Linked DNA regions of Macaca fascicularis. The protein of the gene in region 3 binds, or shares a complex with, the protein of the main gene of each other region. Links are inferred from orthologs where the notes say so. Each region holds a gene or a part of one and is shown on either strand. Other genes may lie near its edges. The genes, in order: TAF1A, GTF2A1 and POLR2H.

Region 1 (3,649 bases), on a different chromosome or scaffold from region 3:
AAATAGGTTAAACTGTTAAGTGCAGGCAATTCTATGTGTCAGTGAATAATTTATTCATTGCATATATTTAAGATATACAACATGTTTTATATACATAAACTTTTTTGTGTGGTGGGAACACCTGAACTCTACTCATAGTAAATTTCCTATACGCAATACAATATTAACTACAGTCTGTGTTGCACATTAGATCTCTATAATTTAATTGAGCAAATGCTTATTGGCACCCATGTGCCCCCTATGGTAGAACAAACAGCAGTTCAAAAAAATGAGCCTCTTTGCTTTCAAGGACCTTATAATCTAGTAGTTTATTCAGTGCTTGAGATTTAGAAAATGGTTTACAGTGAGTGTGTCAACATATGACACCAAAACCATTTTATAAACAGCACTGTCCCATCAAGACAAGTCAGATCTGAAGCCTGAAACAAGTTACAACTGATACTGAATTGCCTAACAACTCAACTGGATATAATAAATATATGAAACAATTTTGTGATATCCCTTCTTCTCACACACTAAGTAAAAATAACAGGAAATTCATTTTCCTTTACTCAAAATATGACACTAATAATATTATAATCAAAGGTACACTTTTAGATACCCAGGTCACAATGGATTTAATGAGTACTTGTTGAATGAATAGTGTATGATGATCTTGTGAGGTCCTAAAAATACTCACTGAAAAAATGATCAAACACAGGTAGGAGGAAAGGTGCTTCCCATGTGATCTTACAAGTTAATGACGCACAAATCACGAGTCATTAGCAAAGAGTGATCCCTGCTAGTCTTTATTTCCAACTGGAAAACACATACATAGTCCTTAGCAAGCAGCAGTGCTAAGCACAGGATTTATTTTGATGGCATAAAAAAAATTGATAGAATTTTTGTATGTTCCCCTTATGACTCTGTATTTCTTTGCTTCAGAAGAAAATGTACTCAGAAAACAGCTAAAGACACAGTTCAAAAAAATCCAAAAACATAAGTAAAGATCTTTAAAAATTGACAGATATTAGCTAAAATATTGGGAAATATTATTTATGATGACCTAGTAATAAATACTGTATGTTTCTTACCCCATTAAGGTCTTTTTCAGATATTTTGCCAAGTATTTCCAAGCAGTTATATTCTTAGTGCATCCGGCAAAATCTAAGACTCCAAATAATACCTCCAACCCCAGTTTATGGTGTTCTTCTTTTTCTGCAATGGTTGTAACAATTCAAGTTTACATAAGGTATTGAAATGTACAAAGCTAAAAGATACATGTATATACTTTATCAACTGTATATATACTTTACATATATGTTGTTGATAAAATACTGAATCACAAGCCTTCTGGTTAACAGTTTTTAAAAATTCATTATGCTTTTACTCCTGCAATGAATCTGAAAAACTCAGTAAAAATTCCTGCTAATGAGGTAATGGTGGTGAGTCTGATCTCAATGTGGGTTACACTCCTCTACTGAGAACATTACTTAAAGTACCTGCCCTGTTTGGGAATTTTATACATGTTATTTTATACTCAGAGAGGAACCCAGGCAGTCCTAGGACAAGTTTGGGCTTAGCCAACTTATTTCCTTCTATGGTGTGCTGAAATCTAGTAGGGATTAAAATGGAGTGAATTATATAAAATTGAGCCATTTCTCTTTTGCAAACTACTGCCTTCACCTTGTATGACAGGAGTAGGCAAACTTTTTCTATAACGGCCCAGATAGTAAATATTTTAAGCTTTGCAAGGCATACAGTCTCTGTCACAACTACACAGTTCTGTCACTATAGTGCAAAAGTAGCCGCAGGCAATACATAAACAGATGGACATCAACAGAACTTGATTTATAAAATCAGGCAAGGGGTGGATTTAGCTGATGGGCCATAGTTTCCTGGTCCCTAGTCTATAGCTTGTCTACAAAAGGTAAAAAACAAAATTTATTTATTACCTGATTTTCTAAGTAATGTATGGAATTCCAACATCAATTTATGAGATGGTACAATCTGATACAAAATCTGAAAGAAAGAACAGTCTTGTAATTTTTACATACTTGTAAAAGCATTTCTCAGATTTCAGCTTACCTTCAAAATAAAGTTTTTACTATCTAATATGCTCTCCATAAATTTATTAAGTATTTTTAAACTACCTTGCTTTTTATCTAGTTTCAATCTAAGCATAGAAAAGTATTCTCTGTAAAGCTGGGTTTTTTTTTTTTTTTTTTTTTTTTAAAGTCCCTGCTAACAAGACAGTCAGGAGAATCGAGGGAAATAGGCAGGGACTTTTTATTTGCTCCTTATATACATCTATATTGTTTACCATGCTCAACAACTTAAAGCAATTTATTTCAGAAGCCAGGACTGAAGGAAAAAAAGAAAAAAATCAATTACCACAGAGAAAATATACTTATTTACTAAACAGAAGAGATCACAGAATATTTATATAAAGCAAAAAAACTAAAAAGGCTGGGAGTTAATTTCACAGATTGTGCTCAGGAACAGTTTACTAAGGGTATATGAGTAAATATTTTAACAAACTTTCACACAATGAAAAAATTTCTCTTTTAAAAAACAGGAAGAACTATTTTTATGAATATTCAAAAAATGGAATTTAAAATAATACTGTATTTTTCATTTTAATACATTTAATTCTAGAATGAATTCATTCTGCTTACTAAAGTACTTTGACCTTACATTGAAATAATTTCCAACAAAATTAAAAGTAAATTTTGTTAATTTCTGTTAATCATTTTCAAAAAGATCAATCAAGATCAATACACCAATATCAGAGAATATTATTGAAATTCGGTTCCTATGAAAGCCACATTTGTCTCATGATTTTATAGAATTCTGTTTATGGCTCAATTCACTTTTTTTTTTTAATTGAAATATAACATGTAGCAGAAGTGTATACAAATCATGGCATCCAGTCAGTTTTCACAAAGTTAAACACTCAGGTAAACAGCACCCAGATCAAATAATAGCACATCACCAGAACGCTAGAAATCCTCCATTAGTTTTGAAAATTTCTTAGTCATGAGCCCTTCAAATGTTAGGGTTTTTAAAAAATTAGTTTGCTTGCTTTTGCCCTGTTCTATTCAGAGGTACTCCACCTCGGACTCCAATGACAAATATGTCAGATCTTTTCACCAATTCACTTGTATGCTCGTTTCTGCACCTTTCATCCTTTTTGTTCTCCATGGTTTAGCCTGGTATTTTCTGTGCAGTTCATTAATCCTCAATTTTGCTATGTTCAATCTGCTATTAAACCCATGTATTGAGATCTTAATTCCAAATACTGTATTTTTCAAAAGGAAAAACAGAATTTCTCTAAATCTATCTTGTCTTGAATATAAATGAGATAAGTATTCAACAGTTATTTTCTGTAGCATTTTTTAAAATCTTTTCAAAAACACCATTAGTGATTGATAACCTGAATGAAAGCACAGTCTTGCTTTTGTTTTAAACACAATCCTTAATATTTTTTAATATAAATGAGCCAAAAGCTATCTTAACAGAGTAAAATAAAAATAGCAACTTCAAAGGTATTGTTTAGTCCAGCCTGGGCAACATAGCAAAAGCCCGTCTCTCCAAATATACAAAAAATTAGCCAGGCATGGTGGCATGTGCCTGTAGTCCCAGCTACTCGAGAGGCTGAGGTGGCAGA
Region 2 (3,749 bases), on a different chromosome or scaffold from region 3:
TCACCAGCACAGAACTTTGACATTTCGTTTTGCTTTGTCTCTGGAAGACAAACTCCCTCACTCATCCAAGCGACATCTCAAGTCCCTCAAAATTCCCAGGGACAAGAAAATTAGGTACTATGAATTCTGCCTTCCAAACAGCATTCTCTGTTCCGCTTGCAATGTCGATATAAAGGCAGGATTTGCTTGGGCAGAATAGGTCAAAAGCTTATTGAATTGCACATGGAACACAGCCTGCTTGCTCTCTTATAGCGAGAGGCCATGAGAGTTGCTGGGTCAAGGGCATGCATTTCAATGTGATCAGTCACTATACGTTGGCCATGCGGAGTCGCAGTATTTTGGCAATATTTTTAAAAACCAGGGAAAGTTACTGTGCTGTTATAATCCAAAGGCTGGTGGGGTTTTCTTCCCCACCGCATCTCCACTAGCGTGATAAATTAAAGTACGTGGGCTAGTAGAGAACTAACCTCTGGGCAACTTAAGCCTAGTCTTCGCAGCGTACCCAGTGTGGAAACAAACGAATCAGAGGTTACTAATTCTGGAATGTTAAAAGTGGGCCCCGATCGGCGTTTACTCCCTTTGGGAAATCCTATACAATTCTGCGCGCGAAAGACCCACCCTTGGTGAGGCGCGAAAGCCGAGAAGCTTATAGTCAAAGCCTCGCTGACAAATCAAGAGATGACTCCGCATTTAAAACCTTCCCGAATAGGAACGCGCCAGAGGCCGGAAGCTACGCCACGTGACCAATCCTCCTCCGCGGCCATTCCTAGTGAGGCAGTAGGCACCGCCTCTGTCACATTTCCTAGCTCCTACAGCGCGGGACCGGGCGGAAACGTGCGACAGGAGGCGGTCCCACCTAGCTTCGGAGTGTCACTAGAACTCGCGTCTTTTCCAGCAATGCTTTGCAAGTACTTCACCGCAAAGAACTGCCGCAGACTTCCGCCTGGGTGCCAACCACGTGATCAGGCGAGCGTTGGAGAGGCGTAGGTCCGACTACACTAGTTCACTCCCCGGGCTCCGCCAGCCCAGCACCCACCACGGCGCGTGACAACGCGGCTCGCGGCGGCCTCCGCCCCGGCGCGCCTGCGCACGCGGCTCTCGCGGTGTCTCGCGCTCAGCCCCGCCCACATCTGCCCCCGCCCTTTCCGCCCCTCCCTCCCCCTTCACCCTGTTTCTCGGCGGCGGCGGCGGCGGTGGCGGCTCGCGCAGCTTGTTGGCTCGCTATATAAAGGAGAGAAGCGGGCGGACCGGACGGCTGGAGCTGCAGCCGGTGGCGGCAGCGGCGGCGCAGGGAGCGGCGACCGGTGGTGGTTTCCCTCCTTGGCGCGGGGTGGGGAGCGGGCAACGCCCCCCGGACCCCTAAAGGGTCGTGGCTTTTTTTTTAAAGGCGATTCTCGAGGTTTTTAGCTGCGGGAGGAGTGCCCCCCTCCTCCTCTCTCCGCTCTCCCTTACTCCTTCAGGATTGATTTTGTTTAAAATTTTTTCCCCAATCTTGTGGTGATTTGGGTCACCCTCCGGGTGTTTTAGTTTTTTTTTTTTTTTTTGGTTTTGTTTTTATCTTGTTTTCTTGGGGTTGCCCCCTCTTGTTTGTGTTGTGTGTGGAAATGGCGAACTCGGCAAATACAAACACCGTGGTAAGGACGTGGTTCGGTGGCCGGCGGGGGCTTCGTTCAGGCGGCAGCAACGGCCGGACCGGGCGGGGGCGGGGACGGCGGCGACTCCCGGCCTCGACTCTTCAGCCGTCCGCGCGGCCGCCGCCGCCGCCGCCGCCGCTTCCCGCCTCGGGCGGATCGGGCCGGAGCGCCGGGCGGCGGGCGCGGGGGGGCGCCGAGGGCTCGCGGCGCGGGGAGGGCGGGGGCGCCGGCGGGGCCTGGGGCAGCCGCGGGCCGGGCCGGGCCGCGGAGGCGGTTGGGCCCGGGCGGGCGTGCAGCCCCGGCCCCAGAACCCGGCCGCCGGGAGGGAGGGCGGGAGGGGAGCCGCCGCTTCCCCGCGAGGGGCCCGTCCGTGCTGTCTTGACGAGGGCTCCCCGAGCGGCTGCAGAACAAAAACCGTGTCTGGGGAATCGGGCGAACCCCCGAGACCCACCGTGATCCACTTTAATGCAGTGGAAGAATAATGATTACTTTGGGGGTTACTTAGGTTTTTTCTGGCTGTTGTGCTTTGGGAACCTTCACTGGGGCCATTTTATGTTTAAAAAAAGGAGGAAGGTTGGTTGAAAAGCACTTATCTCAGTTCCTTCCGAATGGGTAAAATGGCGAAGGGGAAGACCCCCATCGTATCTTCGACTAGCAGAAGCACCAAAACAAACAAAAAAAGCCTGCAGTGGTCCAAGTGTCCCCGCTTTCGCCTTGAAATTTACCTACTTCTTCCCGTTGGTCCCTTTTTGGTTACTTGAGATCACGTAGGTTTGCAAAAAGCAGTCACATAAATAACCTTTTCAGTCACCAACGCAATGTGATCACTAGTCCACCCAACTCTTATTTTTATGATGACAATAAAACACGTTTTTGCCCTGTCCCAAATGCCGCAGACCAGCCCGCGGCCGCCCGACACCGTACCGTTGGCGACTCGGGTCGATCCATCATGGCTGCGGCCGCTTACCCTGCTTTTCAGTCCCTGAGCCTTGTGGTCCTCCTCCCTTTGGCTGCCCTGTTTATATAGAGCCATTGCCGCTCTCTAATATAGACTCTGCCAGGATGGGAAGGTGCTTTTCAGTACTACGTCACCGCCTCTCCATTTAAACACCAGATCCGGCTTTAAATAGTGAGAGCTGCTGAGAGCGGGGCTGGGAGGTGCGTGCTCCCGAGGCGAGAGCCAGGCGCGTGCAGAGCTCAATTTATTTCTAGGTCCTTTTTTCACGCTGTAATTTCTCATCCGTCGGGGGCTGCTTTCAGAGCCCCAAGTTTTGGTTTTGTTCCTAGCAGCAGCCAGGATTTGCCTTCTTTGTTTGCTAGGGGAAATATATCCGAATCGCTGTCCCTTTTTATTTTGTTTACAGTTTTCAAAATTTATAATTTAAAACAAAGAGTTTTAGATAAGATGGTCTAGCCGTTTTTCTTGTGTGCATTATTTTCGGGAATTTAAAAAACTGTTTTCTACACTGAAAGTGTTAGCTGCAGAGGACTCGGTTTTGGTAGTGTTTTGTTTAAGTATTCAAGAAATATGTTAGAAATATAGCTCCCAATATTACATTATGTTTTCCTATAGTAAATATAAAAGACACGAGGCTTTTCAGAGAAATAGATAAGTACCTAAAGCTTCAGTATAGGACCATTTATGTGTATGAGAATCATGAGTAATTACAGGGAAGAGACATGCTGCAAACTGGATTAAAAAAAATTCTAAGTAGAACTTTATTGCCTTGGATATTAACATGGATATCCGGTGTAAAAATTATTCCAGTTTATCTTCCAGCATTGCATCAGGGAATTAACATTTTTGAAGGAAACCTTCTAACAAATCACTTAATGCCACTAGTGGCCCTCTTATTTACCAGTTCTTAAGTTTGAAATAACCTGTTTTTTAAAAATCAGGATAAACCTAAATTGTATTTCGTGATAGAAGCTTTGCCTGAAATATAGCGTAGAATTTTAAGTAATAATTTAGAAATTTCTTGTTTCGAATACTATGTGCCCACATACTTTTCAAAAATTACCTTGAGGGCTTTTCAAATTGTGAACAATTCTGCTAAATTACTTATTAGGCATGTATTTTGTGAAGAGTACACATTTCCCTTCCTTCAACTATAG
Region 3 (3,749 bases):
AGGAGGGGCTGCAGACGCCTGAACTCCGTAGGGGTTGGGGCTGGGAGCTGCGGAGCTGTCTACATCGGATTCCTCCGGGTCAGCTCGTTAGGAGCCGCCTCCCCTCTGTCCCTCCGAAGGGACGAGCGGCCCAGACAGGCCCAGGAAGGCCCCTCTGCCCCGTCAGGGGTGAAAAGCAAAGCTGGGAGAATTCGGAGGGAATTGGAGCCGTCTTCCTCATCCTTCCTTTTCTCGGGGCTCCCCTGGGGAGGTGCACTTGGAGCAACCCGGCCTACGGGGTGTGCAGGGGTGGAGGTTGGGGAGGGCACCGGAAGGGGTAGGCCGGAGGGAAGGGAGCTCCAGGTGCCGGGAAGTCCACTTCTGGGACGCGGGCGTGGGTCGCTTCTCCCTGGTTGGGCCCAAGGAGGAACCAGAGTCGCTGCTTCCATCTCTCCGCTTTGGGGGAACCGCCTGCTGGTGCTCTGGGTTCTCTATCAGGGGCTGGTGAAGGATAGAACAGATGGCAGAGCGCGCGCAGGGTGGATGGGCAGCATAGAGATAGTGTGAGAGGAGCGAGGGCAGCGCCCAGGAAACGCACAAGTGTGCGGGACAGCCAGCACCAGGAGGAAGGGGCATTTGGGAGGCAGAGGAGGGCCTCAGGGGGCGGGGGCAGTGCCCGGGAAGGGGGAGCCTTGTGATAGAAGCCAGCACCCAGGAGGAAGGGCCAGTGTGAGGGAAGAGCTGGTGTCCAAGGGACAGGGCAGTGCCAGGCTGAAGGGGCACGGAGGGGATCCGTGTCCAGGAGAAGGCAGTGGAGGACTAAGTTGGAGGGGTAATGCCCGGGGGAGGCGGGTGGCGGGAGCCAGGCTGAGGGGGCGGTGACGGGGAAGACAGCAGGGCCTGGGGGAAGCGGGCAGTGGTGGGAGGGTGCAGTACGAGGGGAGGGGACAATACAGGCTTTCCTCTTCTCCATAGCGACATCATGGCAAATTCCCAAACTGGACGGATCCGGCTCGGGTTACATCCAGCAGGGCCGAGCCGGCCCGGGCAGGCCCCGGGGTCCGCGGTGCCGGCTGGAGGGGCTGGGCACCTCTGGGGCGGGGTTCTGCTCCACCTGCCCTCGGCGCGGACTGTGCCCTAGGCGGGCACGCAGACCGGCGGGGTAGGGCTAGGGCCCGGCTTCTCTGGGCCAAGGATCAAGGTCCCTGCCTGGGTTAGGCCCCCACGACTTCCAATCTTCGGGACCCGGCCTCTGAAGAGGGCGCAGCAGAGCCCCAGCTGAGCGCTAGAACCCGCTCTACAGCCGCGGGAGGTTGGACCTATTGTTTCCCCGCCCTGGGCGGGGCCACCTGGACGTGAGACCCGCCCTCAACGCCGAAGCCTCTCGGGAGCAATCTTTTGGGGCGGAAGTTAAGTAGCCCCGAGCGGGAGTCTGTGGCGGAAGTGGGCGCGTTACCACTTGTTTGTGCGCATGCGCCACTCTTGTCTGGCTGCCGCGCATGTAAAAGCTGGTTTTGCTCTTCTCCCCTCTTCTGCACCAGAGCGGGTGCGCGTACTCCCAGCTGTGGTCGCCCGCTCACCCCTTCTGCTGCTCTCGTGGCCCCCTCGCGATGGCGGGCATCCTCTTTGAAGATATTTTCGATGTGAAGGATATTGACCCGGAGGGCAAGAAGTTTGACCGAGGTAAGTAAAGTAGGTAGGGGCGATTTGGAGGAAGAGGCTAACCTCGCGGACATGCCCCTGGACCCCGTGTCCACCCAGCTCTTGTGGCCTGCCCCTACCAGCAGGTCCTGATGTAGGGACCTCCCTCAGGAAACAATTTATGGATGAGAAAAGGGAGACTCCCGAGCTTTCTCTGGCTTCACGCATGCCGTGCCCGGTGCCTAGGTGGCCTTTTGTCATGGTGCTGGCAAACTCCTGGGCATCTTTATAATCGCTACCTGCTCTGTGCTAGACACTGTCTTGTGAGACCAGCCTGGCCAACATGGTGAAACCCCGTCTCTACCAAAAATACAAAAATTACAGGCGGGCGCCTGTAATCCCAGCTACTTGGGAGGCTGAGGCAGGAGAATTGCCTGAACCTGGGAGGCGGAGGTTGCAGTGAGCCAAGATTGCGCCGCTGCACTCCAGCCTGGCAACAGAGCGAGACTCCTCAAGAAAATGAGAGTCCTCATGAGGTGGGTGGTGCCTTCCCCATTATTTTCTGAGAGAGTAATCCACCCAAGGCTTCACAGCGAGTAATCTGACTTCAGAGCCTATATTCTTGTATTGCCCTCATAATCCTTAGCGCTTTAAGTCTTCTCTGAGTTAGAGTTAGCTGCTTGGTATATCCTTTTTTTTTTTTTTTTTGAGACAGAGCCTCGAGCCCAGGCTGGAGTGTAGTGGCACGATCTTGGCTCACCACAACCTCCGTCTCCCGGGTTCAAGCGATTCTCTGCCTCAGCCTCCCAAGTAGCTGGGATTACAGACATGCTCCACCACGCCTGGCTAATTTTGTATTTTTAGTAGAGACGGGGTTTCACCACTTTGGCCAGGCTGGTGTCGAACTCCTGACCTCAAGTGATCCACCTGCCTCGGCCTCCCAAAATGTTGGGATTACAGGCGTGAGCCACTCCACTGGCCTACACCTCTTAATTTTGTCATCTATCAATAATTTTCTTTTTGATGTCTCATTCTTTGCCTGGAGACTCAGATGTTTTCAAGACGGATACCAGTTCTTATACATCTTGATAACTCCCCTCAGCACAGTGCCTGTCATAGAAAGAGGAAACCTTTGGATGATTGAATAACTTGCCCAGAGTCAGGTTCTCAGTCATCCAGGCAGGCCTAGAACCGGGTATTATTTGCTGCTGAAGTATCTTTGGTTGTTTTCTGGGGATTACGTTCACTTGCCACAGTTTTTCTCCCCTTTTCCTTCTTGCATGTCTGGTTCTGATGGAGCCTGCATTTCTATGAGAGCAGATGAGAGACCAGTGGTTGTAGACTGGGTTAGATTGAGTATTCTGTTGCATACAATCCCACACTGTAGGATCTGCCTTGGGCCTGGCAATACCTCTGTCACTCTTTTCCTGCTTCTCCCCAGTGTCTCGACTGCATTGTGAGAGTGAATCTTTCAAGATGGATCTAATCTTAGATGTAAACATTCAAATTTACCCTGTAGACTTGGGTAAGTATTGAACACAGACAATAATAAGAGGCATTTTGCCGCTTCCGCTATTCTTCACTCTCTGATATTGCTGTTATTTTCAGGTGACAAGTTCCGGTTGGTCATAGCTAGTACCTTGTATGAAGATGGTACCCTGGATGATGGTGAATACAACCCCACTGATGATAGGCCTTCCAGGTGAGGTAGTGGAGAAGGTAATACTTGGAATATGCCTTGAGAACTAAGTAGATAAGTGATATAGAAAGACTCTTCTTTAATTCCTGGAATAAATGATGATCAGCAGAATCTGAGTAACCTTAAGGAAATTTCTGCACTTAAGAATTCAAACAGGCCAGACACCGTGGCTCACACCTGTAATCTAAGCACTTTGGGAGGCCGAGCAGGAGGATTGCTTGGGTACAGGAGTTCAAAACCAGCCTGAGCAACATAGCGAAACCTCACTGCTACAAAAATAAGAAAAAAAAAAAAAAAGGCTGCACATGTTGTCATATGCCTGTAGTTCCAGCTACCTGGGAGGCTGAGGTGGGAGGATTGCCTGAGCCCAGGAGGTTGAGGCTGCAGTGAGCCATGATTGTACCACTGCAATCCAGCCTGGGTGACAGAG

Evidence for each region.
Region 1: POLR2H (region 3) and TAF1A share a complex: the UniProt entries of both Homo sapiens proteins name them as parts of the pol I pre-initiation complex. The link is inferred for Macaca fascicularis from reciprocal best matches to the Homo sapiens genes POLR2H and TAF1A.
Region 2: POLR2H (region 3) and GTF2A1 share a complex: the UniProt entries of both Homo sapiens proteins name them as parts of the TBP-based Pol II pre-initiation complex. The link is inferred for Macaca fascicularis from reciprocal best matches to the Homo sapiens genes POLR2H and GTF2A1.

The regions. Positions count from the first base shown.
Region 1 is NC_088375.1:80,553,525-80,557,173, forward strand, and holds part of TAF1A (TATA box-binding protein-associated factor RNA polymerase I subunit A), read right to left. Parts: intron 2,002-3,649; coding exon 1,935-2,001; intron 1,198-1,934; coding exon 1,074-1,197; intron 1-1,073. UniProt on the Homo sapiens protein: Component of the transcription factor SL1/TIF-IB complex, which is involved in the assembly of the PIC (pre-initiation complex) during RNA polymerase I-dependent transcription.
Region 2 is NC_088381.1:149,188,783-149,192,531, reverse strand, and holds the start of GTF2A1 (transcription initiation factor IIA subunit 1), read left to right. Parts: upstream 1-1,170; 5' UTR 1,171-1,604; coding exon 1,605-1,634; intron 1,635-3,749. UniProt on the Homo sapiens protein: TFIIA is a component of the transcription machinery of RNA polymerase II and plays an important role in transcriptional activation. TFIIA in a complex with TBP mediates transcriptional activity.
Region 3 is NC_088376.1:96,285,668-96,289,416, forward strand, and holds the start of POLR2H (DNA-directed RNA polymerases I, II, and III subunit RPABC3), read left to right. Parts: upstream 1-1,454; 5' UTR 1,455-1,589; coding exon 1,590-1,662; intron 1,663-3,061; coding exon 3,062-3,145; intron 3,146-3,228; coding exon 3,229-3,322; intron 3,323-3,749. UniProt on the Homo sapiens protein: DNA-dependent RNA polymerase catalyzes the transcription of DNA into RNA using the four ribonucleoside triphosphates as substrates.